2 linked regions of the Struthio camelus genome follow. The protein of the gene in region 1 interacts with the protein of each later gene in a biochemical or structural test. Links are inferred from orthologs where the notes say so. Each region holds a gene or a part of one and is shown in the gene's direction. Other genes may lie near its edges. The genes, in order: CTSB and cystatin-B.

The links.
Region 2: the proteins of CTSB (region 1) and cystatin-B form a complex in vitro, tested with the Homo sapiens proteins (2 studies listed by BioGRID). The link is inferred for Struthio camelus from reciprocal best matches to the Homo sapiens genes CTSB and CSTB.

What each region holds. Positions count from the first base shown.
Region 1 is NC_090944.1:11,198,936-11,208,738, reverse strand, and holds the start of CTSB (cathepsin B), read left to right. Parts: upstream 1-5,619; 5' UTR 5,620-5,634; coding exon 5,635-5,671; intron 5,672-7,672; coding exon 7,673-7,824; intron 7,825-8,376; coding exon 8,377-8,462; intron 8,463-9,268; coding exon 9,269-9,383; intron 9,384-9,803. UniProt on the Homo sapiens protein: Thiol protease which is believed to participate in intracellular degradation and turnover of proteins. Cleaves matrix extracellular phosphoglycoprotein MEPE. Involved in the solubilization of cross-linked TG/thyroglobulin in the thyroid follicle lumen.
Region 2 is NC_090942.1:91,152,130-91,161,679, reverse strand, and holds the start of cystatin-B, read left to right. Parts: upstream 1-5,162; 5' UTR 5,163-5,820; coding exon 5,821-5,886; intron 5,887-9,550. Other genes in the region: CASR (extracellular calcium-sensing receptor), read left to right, coding at 689-2,139. UniProt on the Homo sapiens protein: This is an intracellular thiol proteinase inhibitor. Tightly binding reversible inhibitor of cathepsins L, H and B.

The sequences.
Region 1 (9,803 bases):
CTATTTCTATTATTTTCTGCCAAAACTGTGCATCTATTCCTCAAGCTGGTGGAAAATACATTTTATCCTCATGTCCTCTCAGACTGGAGAAAGAAAAGAGAAAAATACATGATCTTTCTTATTAAGAGAAGTTTTAGCATCCCTGTGGTTTAGAAAAGGACATGAATCTTGGATGACCTTGGCTGATCAACTCTTAGGATGACCTTTCTGGGCAGTGTACCCTTCCTGTGAAAATAAGCCCAAACGGGAGGAAAAAAAAAGTCTATTAACAAATGCATAGTAAACACTTTCTGGACTTCCCAGCCTAAAACCTCACGGGATGTTGGCAGGATGGAGGAGCAATGGAGATAGCTGCTGGTAGGATGAAGGTGGGATGGAGATGGGTTGGAGTCAAAACTTGCTGGGCTTCCCAGCCTAAAACCTCAGAGGACGCTGGCAGGAGGGAGGAGGGATGGAGGTAGGTGCTGATGGGACGCTGGTAGGGTGAAGACGGGACGGAGAAAGGATGCAGGCGGGACGGAGGAGGAACGCAAGGTGGAACGAAGGTGGGATGGGGGTGGGATGCAGACGGGAAGGCGGCAGGATGCAAGCAGGATGGAGGCGGGGTGGACGCGCGCTGCAGTCGGGGTGGAAGCGAGATGCTGGTGGGTTGGCGAGGGCATGGAGGCGGGACGGAGCCGGGATGACTCAGCTGCTGGGAGCTGCCCCCTTTGGCGGCCGCAGAGGCGGCTCGGGGCGGGCGCGGGGCGGTGAGTCGCCGCGGGGCGGGCCGCAGCGGAGCCGCAGCGGCGCATAAGGAGCGCGGCGGGGGCCCGGGCGCGGTGCAGCGCGGCGGCGGGGGCAGGTAAGGGCGGCCCGTGGGTGCGGGCGGCGGCGGCGGCGGCGGCGGCGGCGGCGGCGGCGGCGGCGGCGGCGGCGGGGGGGTCGCCGTGCTGCAAAGTCCGGTGCGCATTTGTGTGCCGGGGGCGGGATGCACACCTCGGGCCCTGCCATCCGGAAAAACGGCCGAGGCCTTCCCTGCTTTGCTTTGCCGGAGCCGTGCGCGGTGGGTTGCACCCCCGGGGCAAGCCCGCTGGGGTTGTTGGAAGGGGTCTTTCCTCCTCCCTTTTCCCCCGCTCGGCTGCATCGGCAAGGGGCAGGGCAAGAGCCGGCGCCGGGTCGCGGCTCGCTGCTGTCGGGGGAGGGGGGCTGCAGGCGGTGGCGCCCCGAGGGCATCCCGGCTTTGCTGCGGGGCGTCTGCTGGGGCGATGCCTCTCGGCTGGCCGCAGCCCTGCACTGCCCTCCAGCCCCCCTGCAGGCAGCGAGGGTGCGAGCGGTGGAGCCGTTGGGGTAGTCTCTCCCTTGGTTTTTGGGTGCATCTTGTTTTTTTTTTTTTTTTTTTTTAGCTGTCACAGGCTGGAGAGGGGTGCTGTGGTGTGTTTTGGGCTCTGCGTGATGTTTTGTTGCAGGGGAGATTCCCTTAACCCTCCGTGTGTCTTGGAGAAGCAACTAACCTTCCTGGAAGTGGAGGGGGAGGAGAGAGGAAATCTTCTTCTCATAATGAAGACTGAAACAAAACAGGCCTGCTCGTCAGCTGACGCTAGGGAGGTCGGGTTGGCACCTGCCGAAGTGCTTCTGGGAACATCCCGTGATGCACACGGCTCTGGCTTGGGGATGGTGCAGAAGAAAGGCTGTTTCATGCCAGCCTATGGTGCAATGGTCCAGATACTGTGCTCTAAGAAGTGCACTGATAGAGCAAAGAGCACTTCCTTGTTATGTTTCCCTCCAGGTCACAAAGTTGAGGGTGTTGATGAGGGCAGTGAACTAGAATATTGCTATTACAGTATCTTTTACAGCAACTGAGGTCTTATGTAAGACTCTGGTTTATGGATCAGTCTCTAAGAAGTTGTTCTCCAAAAAAAGAAAAATCGGTGCAGTTCCATTAAGGAGGAATTTGGAAGTTTCATTTTCTGTTAGGGCAACTTGTCTCAAGATGCAGTCATGTTTTTTTGTTTGCTGTTAGGGTTTTTTGTTAGTTATCCAGACTGTACTAAAGGCTTGGCTTTCCTGAAAAGGAATGGGGGTGGGGATCATGCATATTTTTAAAAAAAAAAAAAGAGGAGGGGAGGATGACAGTGGTTTGAGCTTTGTAATGGCTGTAATGAAGTCACCTGGCTATAGATTTACTGCGTGCATGTTGGCCACCAAGCTAAACTTTCAGTGCATCAAGCTAAGCAGGGTTGCTTTATTTATACACTTGCTTTATTGTGGCTTAGAGTCATGCACAAATACTGGCAGCCAGTGTAGTGCTGGCCCGAACAAAGGACAAAGCTCATCTTGGGAAGAAGGCTGTTGCTAGAGGAGGCCACATGACTTGAGTTTTGCTGAGTACTTCTAACCCTGGAGGGATGGTGCACTATGGCTGTGACAGTGAGACAGCTTTTATCTTTCTCAGACATAGAGTGGGTGGGTGCCTCTATCTGTGCCTGGAGGGGTTTGGCCCAGGTGCTGTGAACCAGCTGAGAGGTGCTTCTGGGTGTGACTCTCCTTGTGGCCTAGCCTGCCTAAACTGGGTCATGTGAGCTGTGCTTTGACTAGCCCATCTCCTGCCCCTTTGGTTGCACAGGCAACATGGGGGAAAGGAGTGGAGAGAAATTCCTAGTTAACTGGGGCTTGTGCTCTTAGATCTTTGGGCAATGTGTGGAAGAGTCTACTGGTGGGCCTCTGCAGCTAGGGCTGCTGTGAACTGCAAAGGGTCCCCTGTTGCTCTTCAGGAGTACAGGTACATCTCCCTTGGCTGCTTCAGCAGTATGGGAGAAGGTTACGTGACCCTCAGACGTGCTCTTCTCTCTGGTTTAACATGGTTTGAGTGTTTGTGGGCCTGTCCCTGGGAAAGCAGGCAGGGAGCTGCCTCTAGCCTCAATCTCCCAGGGATAGTGAGGGACCTGGGTGATAAGTCAGCTCCTTACCTCCTTCCCTCTGTTTGTATGATTGCAAACAGCAGCAGGAAATGCAGAGGACCTGTGTGTAGGTGGTGCAGCATGAGCAGCCACCATCTCAGTGCAGGTGCTCTCCTCCCTCATGTGCTGGAGCTGTTCTTAATGGCTTGCATTGGAGCGCATTCGGCCTCTGTGCTGCCTCTGAGGCTCTTCTCCCTGGCTGACAACTTGAGGCCTGTGCTCATATGGCCCAAGTTCCTCTTAGTGAGCATCTAGCTGCTAGAAGGCTAGTTGTGTGGGTCCTGCTCTGGGCCAGGTGTGAGCTTGCTTGTGGGTAGCTACTTCTTGGAGGTAATTTCTCATTTTCTTTTTGAGAGACTGCACTAAGATGCTTTGGATCCTAAAGCCCTTGGTGGGGTACTTCCTCTCAGGTCCAGCCCAAGAGGAGATGGAACAGGTCTTGAGGGCTGACTGCAAGCCCCAAATGTCTCCCTGGGACCTGATGGGGTTGCTGAGATGAAGTTGCTGTGTCCGAAGAAGTCAAACAGATAAGTTTGTTTTTTTTTTTTTTTTTTTTAACCTGCTCAGCTGCCTTTTCACAAGCTAAGAGGTTGTGATGGGGTTTGGCCTGTGAAGACAACCTCTGCTAGAGTCATCCTCAAACTGTGAGGCCTTGGGCCTTGCGTGTGCTCTGTGTGTGTGTGGCCAGGCTAGATTTGCTGTCTTTTGAGCTTCGGCATCTTGTGTGCATAGGTTGGTTGTCCTGGTGTGTGAGCAAGTGCTGCAGCAGTTGATTCCTGAATACACTTGGCTACCTGGAGGGAAGCAGGGCTGGAAGGCTGAGCCTGTGCCTGAAGAAGGTGCCATGTCCTGTGCTTGGTAGGACATACAATGGAGCCAGTGGGGTAGTGGACAAGGGGATTTAGTGATAGGGAACTGCTGCTTGAATCGCGAGCTTTAGCTGCCCATGTTGTATGTCTCTACTCAGGCTTGGTTTTGGTGCTGCTCTTTGGGCTCCTTTGGTATTTGAATTTGCTATGAAGCTTTGAGACGGAAAGACATGAGGTGCCAACTGCCTGCAGAGCAACAGCATGTGCAGAAGAGATAGTGACGATGGGGAAATACTTCACGTGGCAGCTTTATCTTGCATGAGTCTTACTTGGCCTTATCTGTAGGGAAAGGGAATGATCACAGAAGCTAGCGGCCTTGCTTTTACTTCTGCTTTGCCTCTCAAATGCCTTTAAGCTGCCTGATGACTGCCTCTGACTTGTCAGGTGCACGTGACTCAATATCTTGCAGTCGTCTGCAGAAATTGGTCCCGCAAGTCCTGTGCCTGCTCTTGCTCTATATATAGATTTGTTATACACAGGGTACTTGCTTTAGCTGTGGCATAATAGAGGGACAAATCACATGAGATCAAAGGGTTTCCCCTTCCTTCTCCACCCAAATCTTGGGATAGTCCATGTAATCCAGCAGTAACCTGACAACTGATTCTTGCTTTGAGTTGGAGCCCCCCAAAACTTCTGGCACTGAGCCCACAGGAGATTTGGCAAGAGACTTTTTCTATTAAAATGACTGACCAGCTCCCAGCTAATGAGTTGCACTGGGAGATGAAGCTGCTTTCTCCTGCTGGGTTTGCTGGCTGTGAGCCACTCTGTGGGGCAAATGCAATGCAGCAAGCATGCAGCCTGCTTAAAATATAGGTGTCTGTCAGAGGGGGGATTGCATTGCAAAGAGGGTATCTCTTTTCAGCTCAGTCTCGGGTTGACTGGAGCTCCCAGTTGACAGTGGCTGTGATCTTGTAACCTGAGGATGTGAGCTCTCCTGAGGCTGTCTGTCAGGAGCTCTGGGCAAGCAGCCTTATAGGTGCAGGAGGCTTTGCAGAATAGGTTTTTGGCATGTCATCAAATCCACAAGTGTCCGAATGAAAACAAACCTGTATCAAATGGATCCTGGCTTCAAAAGTGCCTCCTTTCTGTGCTACGGAAGATAGAAACTTTACAGCTGGAAGGTAGAGGGTTTTAAAGACTGTAGAGGAAGTTTTTAGTCTCAGAGCTGAGCTATGCTCAGTATGCTGGTGGTAGTGGAAGTTTGTCTCTACTGGTTGCTCACCAGGAGCCTTGCAGGGAGATGTGGCCTGACACCTTCCCCTGAATGTGGCCAGGTTGTTGCACCATCTGAGTGACCTTGCTGAGGGAATGGATGCCCTGTGGTGTTATAATGGTCGTGGTATGGGGTGGTGAGGGAACATCTTGTGAGTGCAGAGGGATTTGACTAAACTCTGGTTAAATATGTACCAGGCCCCTAAAGCCTGGGGAGGGCAGAAAGGAGTGTGTGTTGGGTGGGGGTTTAAGTGCTCTGGACCCAGCTCAGCTGTTGCTAGTTCAGTTTGTTCTGGCTGTGTGTAGATATAGGAAGATAAGCCTGTGGCTTTCCAGCATGTGTTTTGGTCATTTTGGATGTTGTGACTTTCCAGCAGAGCAGGCAAGGCCTTTTTTTAGACCCATGTAACAGAAACGAGGAGCCCTCTTCCCAGTGGGAGCCAATAAAGTTATGGTAGACCCTCTCCCTTCACTAACTGGCTTCTGGGGACTTGCCAGCAGCGCTAATAACACACCGTGGACCTGTTTTCCATGCAGCAAAGCCTGTGATGTGGCTTAGCCCAAGGAGCTGGCAGGGATCCTGAAGAAGTTGCTTTGCACCACTTCAGCCCAAGATGGTCGCCTGTAGGCTTTCTATAGTTGTGTTTAAGGGTCAGTAGTCAAAAACCATGTTAGCATTGGAAAAGTGCATTTTCTTTGAGTGTAACCTTTTTGCTGGCTAAGCAGGAAAACATGGCAAGAAGAGAAGGTTTGGAGGCTTTGGAGACCTGTCCTCTGGCAGTACCACCAAGTTGGTTGTCTGTGAGAAACCTCTAAGCACACAAATACATGTAAAACCTCTTCAAAGAAGTGAGATTTGAAGGAGGGACAGTGTATTTCTGAAACTTGACTAGCTTTCCAGCAGAGCGTCCTGCTGAAAGCACAAAGAGGCCACATTAAAGTGAATGGTGGCAGGGGAAAAATAAAAGCCCTTTTATATGGTTAGCTGCAACTGCCCAGGCTTGTAGCTGGCAGAAAGTAGGACAGTCCTGCTGGGTTTTCTTCTCTGGGAAGGCTAAACTTGGCTGTGAGTGGGTGGAGGCAACATGCGTGGAGATGTGTGTGCCTCTGTCCGTCGTCAGCTTGAACCTGGCTGTTCAGAAAGCTTTGCTGCCATGAGACTGCACAGCTGCTGCTGGTAGTTATTTGGCTGCTTAGGCATATTAGCCCAGAAGGGCTTAAGTGCAGCCTCTGAGAGATGATTACATGTTTAACTCGCTGAGATGAGTTGGAATTGGGGCCTAAGTGTCTCTGCTGTTTGGGGCTTTGCTGAGTATCTGAGGTCTTGGGTTGCTAGTCAGGCTTGGAGCTTGGGGCTGATGGAGCTTTGTTAAAGTGAGCCAGGAGGTTGTGGGTGGAGGAGGATACCGCAGCATGTTTGCAAAGGCTGATTGGCTCATAACGCGGCTGGATGTCTGATCCCGTCCAACCAATCTGAGTTGGGTGCAGAGGTGCTGAGAAGTGTGAAGGGTTGCTGCTTCGGCTGTAGGTGTATAAAAGGGTTAAAATGGAGCAGGGTGGTTTAAATTAGGTTAAAACTAGGCAGGAAGAAATGGAGTGGTGGTGTGACTGCCTGTCCTCCAAACCATTGTCCAGCAGACTAGCTTTCTGCTGGATGAGTGAGCTGAACTGATGCCTAGGTGGTGCAAGGCGGTGTGGAGGTGAGGCTGGAGCATCTCCTCTTGGCACTAGCAAGCTTTAAACTGAGGGTCAAGTTGCTTAAAGGATTTGATTGAGCTGAGGAGTACACAGGTGGCAAAACTGAACCTGTACCTATGTTGTGGTTGTGCTTCCATGTGGGAGGCAGGAGGCCTGTGGCTGACTCTTGCTGTGCTCTTGGATTTCCCCCTGCTGTGACTCTCTTCCTCAGCCTGGAACTTTCCTGGTGCCCTGTGCCAAGGGATGCAGTGTCAAACCTCCGTTGTGGAAAAGTCCCACACGGGAGGGGAGTATAGGCTGTAGTGATGGACTGTTCCTATAGGGCTTAGGCCTCCTCTCTGTGGGCAGGAATCCCTTCCCTCAGGGGATGTGACTGTGTTTAGGGTCCTGAGGGTGATAGACTGGCCAAATGAGGCTGTAGAGCCCAGAAATGTGATTTGGAGGGGAGCTGTGGGAGGGAGGCCCTCAAAGGGAAGAGTGCTGTGTTAGGATAGTGGGCTAGCAAGTACACGGGGGCTACAGCTCTGCTGGGATCTGATGTGGGGTAGATCATTTAATCCCTCTTAGTCCTTAGCTCTTCTGTTTCTTGGAAGTAAACAGCTTGTGAGACCCTCCAAACACAAACCCTTGGACCTGCTTCAAAAGCAAGTTTCCTGCTGCTGTTAATCCTGCAGCAGTTGACCAAACAGCATTGCCCTGTCTGACTTCTTCTGGGCTGCAGGAAGGGAGTTATTAGCACACTCTTGCATTGCTCCTGACCTTCTAGGTAAATCAGGATTGGGAGGGATTTTGTGCAGGCATGTGTTTTATCCTCCTGTGTGTTGCTGGTAAACAGCTGCTAGCAGTCCTTCTGCCAAGCCCTGCCAGATCCTCCTTGCAGCAGAGCAGTCTGACCTCAGGTTGGGATGGTTTCCTGCTGGTGTTCAGGCAAATGATAACCAAATTGTGTTGCAGGTGAAGGAACCTGTTCTGAAGCCAAGATGTGGAAGTCTGTGTCTGTCCTGTGTGTCCTGGTGGCTTTTGCCAATGCCCGTAGCATTCCTCACTACCCTCCCCTCTCCAGTGACTTGGTCAACCACATAAACAAGCTCAACACCACCTGGAAGGTGAGTGCAGGGGATTTTTTGGACAGATTGTGGGACCTCCTCTCCATAGGACTCAACAGCTGTGATTTGGGAGTCTCATCACAGTGCTTGCCTCCAACCAGCCTTGGGTCCCAGCTGGCCTCCCCAATGAGTTGATGCCATCAGGGATTCCTGCAGTGACAATGATTGTGCACCTCCTCCTTAGAGCAGAGCACTGATGAATTCATAGACTAGGAGTAATGCTGAGAGGAGAGGGAACTCTGCAGGGCAGTGGAAACAAACAGCAAGTGTAGAAGTATATTGCCAACCTGGCCAAACCTGGCTTTGCCATGCTGCTGTGGCCAAAGCTTAGAGTTGGACCTGAGCTTACTGGCCACAGTGCCCTGTTCCTGGAAGGGGCTGTGTTGTCCTGTCACCGTAAGCAGCTTGGCTCTTGGCCTCTGGGTTTTAAAAGCAAGTATCAGATACAGGTTGGGTTCGAGGAAGATCTGGAGCCCCAGGCTAGTCATGCTGTGGCTGCGGACTGCACGTAGTGGCTGTAGAGTCATGTTCAGTCACTCTGTCTCTTCCCAGGCAGGGCACAACTTCCACAACACTGACATGAGTTATGTGAAGAAGCTCTGTGGCACATTCCTGGGTGGGCCCAAGCTCCCCATCAGGTGAGTAATCGGAGAAAGGAAGATGATGGCCCTGCAAAAGCTTGTGTGGATGCTCCTGTGCAAGTCTGCAGTGGGTGAGGGCCCTTTCCCAACAGGCTCTGAGCTGGGTCCCCCTGCATGCTTCTGCATGGGGTGCTCTGGGACTGGATGCTTGATTTGCAAGAAGAGGGTGTGAAGAGGGTACAATATGGTTGTTCCTGCAAGCTGCCAGAGCTGACCATGTAGAGAGCTGATACCTAGGGTGAGCCAGAGAGCAAACAAGGTAAATCCCACCCACAGAAGAGTTCAGGGCTTCAAAAAGCTGCCTGAGGTCAGAGCCTACCCAAAGGGGGACAGTTTCTGAAAGGGTTCTCTTCCCCTGTTGTGGGAGCCAGCAGCCTGACGGCAGGACAGAGAGGCCAAGAGTGAGCCTCAGAGCCTGCAGAGAGGCTTGATCCTGTCTCTTATGTCGTAACACCCAAATAGCAGCTGCTTGGGGGTGTAGTTTCCACAGCTTGCTCCTTGGTTCTTAGTGTGCATCTTGCACAGGGTTGAGCATGGGAGCATGTGTCAGGGGGAACTTCTGCCCTGTATCCTGCAGGTTGTTGGAGCAATCCTCTAACTCCTAATCCTTGAACTAGAACACACTGGAGAGTTGTTGACCTGGCCTGAGGACTTCAGAAATATTTATTTTCCTTTAGTAAGCAAATAAGTGTTCTGGCTGCCCAGATTCACTTGTCTTCCAGGTCCTCTTCAGAGGAGGTTGGAGAGGCCTCTGCACCCAGTCCTGTTACCCTGATGTAAGCCTCATCTCTTCTCACTTACAGGGTAGATTTTGCTGCAGATATGGACTTGCCAGATAACTTTGACTCACGGAAGCAGTGGCCCAACTGCCCAACCATCAATGAGATAAGAGATCAGGGCTCCTGTGGCTCTTGCTGGGTAAGATCACTTTGGCGGCGGCTGCTGCTGCATGGTTATGGCTGCTTTGGTACAGAGCACACTTGCCAGAAAAAGTAAGCTGCTGAGTTTGCTACTGCACTGCATAGATTGCAGGCTGCATTTCCCTTCCTCACAGTGTCTGTGGAGGAAGTGAGACTTCCTCCAGTGCAAGGAGATAGCAGCCATTGGTTCTGCTGCTGTATGAGTTTCCTTGCAGGTCTGAGTTTCTCATCCTGTTGTCCACCAAGGCTTGGATCTAACTGCTTCAATGTGGCACCCTTCTGTGCAGGACAGAGTGTCTGTTCTAGTCCAGCAGTGACCTTCAAAGCCTTGGGGCATGAGTGGTAGGGGGTGGGTGCAGTGTCCAAGCTTATTGCATGTGGATTTCTCCTGGCTAGACTCTGCACTTATTTCCCCTCC
Region 2 (9,550 bases), on another chromosome or scaffold:
GAAAGAGATGGAGGCATCAAATTCCCCTCTGCAAGGGTCAGCGGTAGGCTTTGCTGGGTGTAGGGAGAGCAATATTGTTAAGACACGTCTTCCCGTAATGTTCCTAATTGAAATGAGAGTATGGTTGGAGTCAAGGGCATTGCCTGCTTTCCAGGGATGAACAATTTAAACACTTCTAAGATTCACATCTTTGGAGTATGAAATAAGCTCCCAAAGCACTTAAGGACACAAGCACATTTTTAATTTTCCCTGTAACAGAGACAGGCAGGATGTTTCAAATGATGATGGAAGAGTGAGAGGTATGAAGACTGAGAGAAGTAGATGATAAAAATGAAGGAACAAAAAACAGCAAGGGACAGAGCCTGTGTAATAGCTGATAGTAATCAAACACGCAAAGTTTTGCCAAGAAATTGATCCGAAAAGCCAGAGTGCAGGGGAAGGACTTTTTTTAAGCTGGCATTAAATGTCTTTTGTGTTTTGCTACGTAGACCGTGGGGACTGGTTGTTTCATGGTAACGCACTCCTAGATCTGAGAGGCCAGTATCTGATACTGGGAACCCACAGGCACCAGAAGGAAACACCCTCTGTATTTAAGATGAAGGCTTGTGTGCAGCCCCCATTTATCTCATCCCTCATTTCGACCTCTCATTCTAACAAACATCCTCTCTCCCTGTCACTTACTTTTCAGATGCAAGTGCTTGTGACAAATGCCCTGAGGATTACTGGTCCAATGAGAACCATACATCCTGCATCCCCAAGCAGATAGAGTTCCTCTCCTGGACAGAGCCCTTTGGGATCGCCCTGACTCTCTTTGCTGTGCTAGGAATTTTCCTGACTTCTTTTGTCCTGGGTGTTTTCACCAAATTTCGCAATACTCCCATTGTCAAGGCCACGAATCGTGAGCTGTCCTACCTCCTCCTCTTCTCCTTGCTGTGCTGCTTTTCCAGCTCGTTGTTCTTCATTGGTGAACCCCAGGACTGGACTTGCCGTCTGCGGCAGCCAGCCTTCGGCATCAGCTTTGTCCTCTGCATCTCCTGCATCCTGGTGAAAACCAACCGTGTCCTGCTTGTCTTTGAGGCAAAGATCCCCACGAGCCTCCACCGCAAGTGGTGGGGGCTCAATCTCCAGTTCCTCCTGGTCTTCTTGTGCACATTTGTGCAGATTGTCATCTGTGTGATTTGGCTGTACACGGCGCCCCCATCCAGTTACCGGAACCATGACCTAGAGGATGAAATTATCTTCATTACCTGCCATGAAGGCTCTCTGATGGCCCTTGGCTTCCTCATTGGCTACACCTGCCTCCTGGCAGCCATCTGCTTTTTCTTTGCCTTCAAGTCTCGAAAGCTACCTGAGAACTTCAACGAGGCCAAGTTCATCACCTTCAGCATGCTGATCTTCTTCATCGTCTGGATCTCCTTCATCCCTGCTTACGCCAGCACATACGGCAAGTTTGTCTCTGCTGTGGAGGTGATTGCGATATTGGCTGCCAGCTTTGGGCTCCTGGCCTGCATCTTCTTCAACAAAGTCTACATCATCCTCTTCAAGCCTTCCCGCAACACAATAGAAGAGGTGCGCTGCAGTACAGCCGCCCATGCTTTCAAAGTGGCCGCCAGGGCCACACTGAGACGGAGCAATGTGTCACGCAAGCGCTCCAACAGCCTGGGGGGCTCTACTGGCTCCACCCCTTCCTCCTCCATCAGCAGCAAGAGCAACCATGAAGACCCTTTCCCTCTACCGGCCTCCGCAGAGCGGCAGCGCCAGCAGCAGCGTGGGTGTAAGCAAAAAGTCAGCTTCGGGAGCGGCACGGTCACCCTGTCGCTAAGCTTCGAGGAGCCACAGAAGAATGCCGTGGCCAACAGGACCACGAAGCGCAGGAACTCCCTGGAAGCGCAGAACAGCGATGATAGCCTGATGCGGCACCGGGCCCTGCTGCCCCTGCAGAACAGCGAGTCCCTCAGCGCAGAGCCCAGCTTTCGGGCAGCTTCCAGCCCGGAGTCCAGCTCACAGGAGTCAGTGGTGGGAGACACAAAAGAAGAAGTACCAGGCCCCGAGGAGGAGCTTTCCCTGCCATCGGCTAACTCTCGAAATTTCATAGGCACTGGAAGTGGCTCTGTCACAGAGAACACGGTACATTCCTAACGAAAGAAGACCATGAAAACCACACCAGTCCCCAAGAGGAACTTGCTCACCTCTTGCTTCTGATTGGGAAAGACAACAAAGATACACATCTGTGACACAGCCCCACCACAGTTTATTGTTAGTGCTGGTAGGGTAACACACATGCCTCCAGAGGAAGGACTGTCTGAAGCCTGTGTCTGGGGACCCTGGAACTGAAACTGCATTTGCTTTATTGAAATCAGGACATCTTGGAAGGACAAGTGAAGATGGGCTCTGGTGGGGTTTAAGCAGAACTCTGCATGCTGCCTTGCCTCTGTAATCTTTTCCTGCCGGACTGCAACTCAGCTGACTGTGGGAGGCAATTAGGCAATTCCACTATACTCTGCTTTTACACTTATGTACATTATTTCTCTTTCCCACTATGTATAATAGTCCCTCTTTATCCAGTATATGTGATCTGTAACCATGTTCGTCAGGACTCTCCGCTCTACAAAAGCAAGATATACAGTTTCACTTGGGGAACACACGGTCATGGGGAAAATAAAAAAGCCCCCAACATCCTGCATGCTGTGTACAGCCAAGGGTGTGAACATGTAAAGTATTTAATGTGACAGAGCGCCCTGCTATTTATATTTAGTAATGTCCCAATCTCTCCTTTCTTCCCGCGAGCGGGAGCAGCAGGAAATACTAGACAATGCTCTTCATAGACTCCGTTACATTAGACCAAGCTACTAGGTTCCTACTGGTTTCTTCCAGCTGAGGTAGCTTCACCTCCAGCCTGACTGCTTTGGTGGAGGGGGAGAACAGCTTGTCATATCCTCCAGGAGAATGCTGCGAGAGCACAATGAGATGTATCCATGATTGATTATGTCACTAGTAGTTGTACGCTTAATGACGTGTTGCTGTTGTAATATTCCACGTGGCATACATGGCTAAACTTTTCACACCATAGTCAGTGTTGTGCTTTGCCATATTAATCTGCCTCACATCTACACATAGTATTGCGCTAGTCGTGACAATACTGGTGGGCTTGAGACAAAGCAAATGAAACAAGATGAAATGGAGGAGTTAAAAGATGTAGAAATATCCCCCCAAAAGTGATAATATGACTGCAAGGAAAGATAAATATTTGGAGCGCGCATGCTGGTAGATGACTGGATGAGGAAGACACATACAGGCCTGGGCTCTGAGACATGCACACTGATAAATGAGTAAATAAATGAGTAAATTGGGTATGTTTTGGCTCCTACAGGGCATCAGATGTCCAGGAGTTTTACTGGAGATGCCTAGGGTAAGTATTTCCCTCCTGGCCCACCTTGAAGAGAGGGCACCTAGTGCACTACATCTGAAGAGTAAGGTCTTCAGAAGAGAACACGTTCCTCTTGGTGCTTGTCTTACTCCCCCAAAAGCAGACATGAGTGCTCTTAGTTTTGCAAGGGTTTTTTTTTTTTTGCCTGGTTCTTCTCCATCCATACTGGAAAAGTTGGAAGTAAGAGTCAGTAGTAGAGATTTTTTTGTAGCTTGATGAGAGAAAGAGTGGCCCAAGAAAGCTTGGAAGGAGAGGGTGGGGTTACGCTGCAGAATTTATTTCCCTCTTCCCAGATGCCATGTGCAAGCACAAGTAGCTGGCATGAAAATGCCAGTTCCACCTCTCATCACACATGAACGTAGTCTAGAGCCCTGCAGAAAGCTATACAGGCCTGCAGCCTCGTGTGAGCAGAGTCCACAGGACCAGGTGAATGCCTTGGGGAGACTACCACAATTCTCTGTTTTTGCTTGGTTGTTCTTTTGCCAGGGCAGGCAAATAAAACTTACAGGTCACATTACTGCATAAAAATTTTGTTTTGCCACCTCCACTTGTTGTTGATAAGGAAGAGGAGTTGTGGCTTAGGAGAGTGCAGTGGAAGTTCGGAATCTCTAGGAGCATGATAGTAAGACAATTTCCTTCAACCCTTTTGTTGATTTGTTACATTCACCTTGCAATGGACTAAAATTTTATTTACTGCATATAACTGCATGAACCAGTCCAACTTTAATAGTATGACCTGCCAATTACAATATTTGATTAAAATTTTTGTGTGGCAGGTTGAAAAAAAAGTTTGAAAACACAAATCATTGTGGCCACACCTTTGGACATCAGATTCCACCCCTGAACCCAGTGAGAGCTGCTCATTGCTCCTGCAAAATCAAGTTGCTGAACGTGGCCTACGTCCTCAATTCAGAACACCTAGTTTAGACCCAGGGCTTCTTGAGTTTAAATGAGTGCACGGAGATGGCCACGAGGTGGCGGAAATACCTTTTTAAAAAAATAGTTGTCTATGGCCCAAACACTTCAAAAAGTTCAGTAGCCAAATAGTTTTACCGTTATCAGTCATTCATCACTGCTACAGGCCAAACTTGACACCAGAGTCGTCTCTGAAGCTGACAGCACTGAAAGCATAGATGCTCTAAATGAATTAAATGAGGAAGGCACAGGATATAAACTGAAGACTATACACAAAAACAAACACCATGAAAACCAAAAGGTCACCAGTGGCTGCCCTCTTTTCCAAACTTGGCACTATTCACAGGCTGGCAGGAGTACGATATTCACCACCTATGCACTCAGTCAATAATGTTGACATTTATTTCTAAAGTTTTGGGTGTTTTTAATTCTTTACATCTACATTAAAAAGATGGGGGGAGGGGGGTGCCCCGATGCATGATGAGGCTTCCACAGCTGCCAAATTTTATAGTGACAAATCAGCCCGTGCTCAGTTTGCGGATGAAGCCCCATCTGCTGCCAAAGCACGCTCAGCCAGCGCTGCAGGCCTCCTCAGGCCACAGATTGTGGAGACCCACTGCCTGCAACTCCTTGCAGTGGAGCACAGCTAAACACAAGGGAAGCTCAGAGGAAGAGGACCCTCTTTATAAAGGTGATGTGCAAGCAGACTTCTGCCATTCAGCATGCAGTACCCACTGCTGATGAATCTAGCTGTTAAATTTGCCATCTTAACCAAGGGGAGTAGGAAAAGGCTTTTTTTTTTCTTTCTTTCTTAAGGATCTGGCCATTCAAATCAGGGAGAAGCCAACATTTCGTTAGAGCGCTGAACATGCAGGCTAAAATCTCACCAGGGAGTTTCTCTCATTAGGTCCAGGTGTTGGCTAATCCACCCTCGTCTTTCGTTGCCCTGAGGAGCAGCAAAATCGAGCTGGAAGGTGCAATGCTGAAACGGCGAAGCAGAGAGAGTCCCAGCGACGGAAACTCTCCATGCTGCTAGAGCACACCCAACACGCAGGTGATGGACGCTGGAAGAAGTAATATACTAGGGAAAGGAAGAAGCAGCAAAGGCGAACAGCGTTGCCAGCAGCTGCTCCCATCCGGGGCTGTGAGCAACGGGCCACCCGCCCTCGCCAAGGCCTGAGCATAGCTCATCCTGCAGGCAGCTTTCACCTGCAAGTCTTTGCTGTTGGTTTTTTCTCTTCCTTTGCCTAGCGCTCTACAGCGTTTCCCGAGATGGGAGGTTTTCGGCGAAGCCCGGAGAAAGCTGGCCTCGCCGTTTCGTACGAGAGGGTATTTAAAAAAAAAAAAAAAAAACCAACAACACACGCACACACACACCCTACCCTGCTCTACCATTTTCCCGCTGTTACCGCCTCCCCGCGCCCGCGGCGCAGCCGACAAAGGGCCGGGCGGGGCCGAGCAGAGAGGCGGCCGCCGCCATGTTGTGCGGAGGACCCTCAGCGGCGCGGGCGGCCACCGCCGAGACGCAGCAACTGGCGGACGAGGTGAGGGGGGCCGCGGCGGGAGCCGGGGAAGGGGGGCGCCCGGGCGCCCCCTGCGCCGAGGCGGCGGGCGCGATGGCAACGTCCCCAGACGGCTTTATAGCACTGACACTCCCCCCCCCTTCCCCGCCGCGGTGTGCCCACGGCTCTACGCAGTGTCTCCTCCAAGCACACGTTTCCTTTGCCGTTCGGGCGTCCTTCCTGTGTAAACAGAGAGCGGCAAGACTGCGGTTGTAGGTTTAAATTCACTGCTTTGGGGGCTGCATCCCCGTGGCGGGGCGTGCAGGGTGTTCAGCCGTTGCTGGAGCCCGCCGTACACAAAGGAGCTGCCCCTCCCCCGCCCCTTCCCTGGGAAGCCGGGGGCTGACAAACGGCCGAAACGTCCTGGGTAGTTCTTAACGGTTGGGAAGCCGTCGCTGCGCCGGCTCGGTCTCTGCTAGCGGTCTTCCGAGAGAGCAAGCCCGAGATTGCAAGAGGAAGTTTTCGCAGCGTTTGGAGAGCGCCGTTGAGTGCCTCATTAGGTACTCGGCAGCTCTGTTCCTGCTTGTGCAAACTGATGTAGTATCTAGCAGTAATTTTAGCACGATGTGATCCGTCTGCTTCCCGAGGTGTAACGTTTGAGCTCCTAAAAGGTCTGTTTCCTTTCTCAAGAGGAAACAGGGCCTGGCAGAAGGAGCTCCCTCTCTCATGAAGGCTAAACCTCTTTTGGGGGGAGCAAATAGGCAAGAAAATATCTCTTGTTATTTCACAAAGCAGAATTCAGCTCTAAAAACTGGCAATTCCAAATATTGGTGCTCGTTATTGCATCTTAAATTGCTGTCCATGCTAATGGAACACGGGCGTTTGCTCTAAAAGTGACTATGTACAAGTGAGTTCTGCTTTCAAAACATACGGCCTTGTGTCAGTTGTGTGTAATAACCCTGAAGTGCCTTCTGCTTTTTCCTTTTATCATCTAGGGTTTGTCACACCAATTAAGAAAGATTAAGGACAAGTTGTAGCTTCTTGCGCTCTTTATCATCGCCCAGATTTGCCAGACCACAGCAGTTTCCACGCACGTACAAAACGCCCAAAGACAGCAGGACTGCGCAGTAGTCATTGAAATTAAAGTTTAGTTTGTAGAATGTGATGATGTTGCCTAAAAAGAGATGTATAACTTTTAAACACTAAGCTGAGCTTGCAGTACCGAGTACAGGATTGAGAATTGCTGAGGGATTGACAATTATTATTCTGCTCTGAAGAGGCCTGAGTGTTGTGTTAGAGATAAGGCTAGTGTGCAATTAACGTTGCACATGGGCTGAGAACTAGACTTCTTTAAAAACCTGGATTTCTGTTCTGTGGCAGGCTGCAGTGCTTCAGTAACCCAAAAACAGGATGAAGAGTAACAACCAAAGCAAACCAATTGGATTCAGAAGTGATGGAATTTGCTGAAAACCTGGCATTTTCATTTAAAACTAAATACTTCAAAGTTTGTCCAGTTTGTTTTGACTGCTCTTTTAAATTATTTTATTTAATGAAACATACATGGGAATCCTCAAAACTTAAATTCGCCTGTGGAATAGTATGCTCAGCTGGATACAGACTATGTCGAAAATGTTCTTTTTGTTAAATGAAGATAGGAGTTCTTGAATTATTTTGTTTGCTTAAAATCTAATCTTTTTGGAGATTTGTTAAGAGCCTGCCAAGTTTGCTCACCACAGATACATTTCCTGTGGCTGCTTTTCCAGTTATCATCTCCATCGGATTGTTTCCTAAAGACAGTGTAATGCTGAACAGTGGTCAAACTCATAGCCCTGGCAAGTAGTGCTGCTTGCCCAGAGGCAAGCAGCATATGCAGGTAAGCACCATATGCAGGTAAAGCATATGGAACAGCAGGACAGGCTTCCCTTCAACAGTGTCCCTGGCTTGAGAGTCTTCTAGGAGCTGTCTCTCTAAGGCAAGGATCGCAGCCCAGGCCTCTTCAGCCTTTGGAGGTTACTCAGGGTGAATTTTAACCACCTATCTTTTAGTGACTGCTCTGAGAGCGAGCAAGCAGGCTGTGCAGGACACCGCAGAGCCTTCGGGACACAATAATTTTCAGTCCTGTGATTGAATCGCAGATTCTTCAGGTGTGAAGGGGCCGCTCCTTCTGCTCAAAGCAGAGTCAGCTCTGAGAGCAGACCAGGCTGCTCAGGCCTTCACCCAGCTGGCTCTTGAAAACCTCCAAGGATGGAAACTGCACAACTTCCCTGAGCAACCTGTCCTCATGGGAAAAAGCTTTTCCTTATATACAGACAGACCTTCCAATTTCAATTTATGACCACTGTGTCTCATCCTTCTGCCATGGCCCTCTGTAAAGAGCCTGGCTCGGTCTTCTCAGTAACCTGTCGCCACTGGGAGGCTTTCCTGCAAGCCTTCTCCCCTCCTGGCTGAGGCGGGTGGAAATTGGACGCATGATTCCCGACATGCTTAACAAGTGCCAAGTAAAGGGCAGCAATCGCTTGCCCCTGCCTTCTGGCTGCACTCGTGCCGATGCAGCCTGGTATGCTGTTATTACTGGGGTGCACCGCTGGCTCAGGTTTAGTGCACTGTCCCCCAGCACCCCCAGATCTAGCACTGGGTCATTCACTAGCACAGCAGGTTGATAGCAGTTCTTGCAGGGAGCATTTCTCTCTGGGCTCTCCCTCTCCGCCCCCGCCAAGGATGCCCTTTTGTCACGGGCTGGGACGAGTCATTGCCATGTGACTCTGAGCTGGCTGCAGTCATGGAGCCCAGTGTTCAGCTTTCTGGTGGAGGTAGAAAATATGCTGAGCCAGGCTGTTTCCCAAACTCAAAAAAAAAAAAAAAAAACAACCTTGCACAGCACCTAGGATTGCTAAGGGAGTGAGGGACAGCAGAGGGCCAGCGATAATACCTCTTGTTCCCCTCTACCCCTTTCTTAAAATTTGTGATAGTAACTCTCTTGACAGGCACTGAGCTTACTTCCTCCCTCTTGTGAGTCCCAGTGGGAGGACTGAATTGCTGTGCTTTCTCCGGCTGCACCCTTCCATGCAAAGGTTTTGGGTTCGCTTGGATTTCTGTATAGCACAAATCTTACAGAAGAAAGCATTTAAATGGCATATGCTTACTTTTGAAGTACTGCTCCTAACCTGGAAGAAGCATAGAGGTATGACCTCTGAGAGAGGATATATGGTATGATCCTGGCTCCCAGGGACGGGATGGATGGCTAGTGCCTCGTCCTGCATCTTCTCAGTAGTGGGGAGGGAAAGGCCTGAGAACAGATCCCGTCGGAAGAATTGTTTCTGTTCCTACTTCATTGTTTCCTGGAGCACCTGAGAGTTTTCCCCCAAGGCAGTGGATGGCATGCAGGCAGGATGGCAAATATATTAATTCCCCTTGATTTATGAAGGAAGGGAAATAGCACAATATATCTAGAAAGAGAAAATCTGCTTGCTGCTCTTCCTGTTGTACTGGGAGTGGAGGGAGAGCTGCATAATGGTGTACTGCAGGAGGGAAGGCCTTCTGGGGAGCACTGAGCTTGCAGCAAGGACTCCAAGACTACTTCTTATTACCCTTGTAAACGAAGCTTGAAATCTTCTGCTTTCCTGACCAAGAATTTTACAGTAGAGCCGTGATGTTCTAGAGAGCCAAATGTGGGGAAAGAAGAGCTGGAACTCATATGAGTTCATGT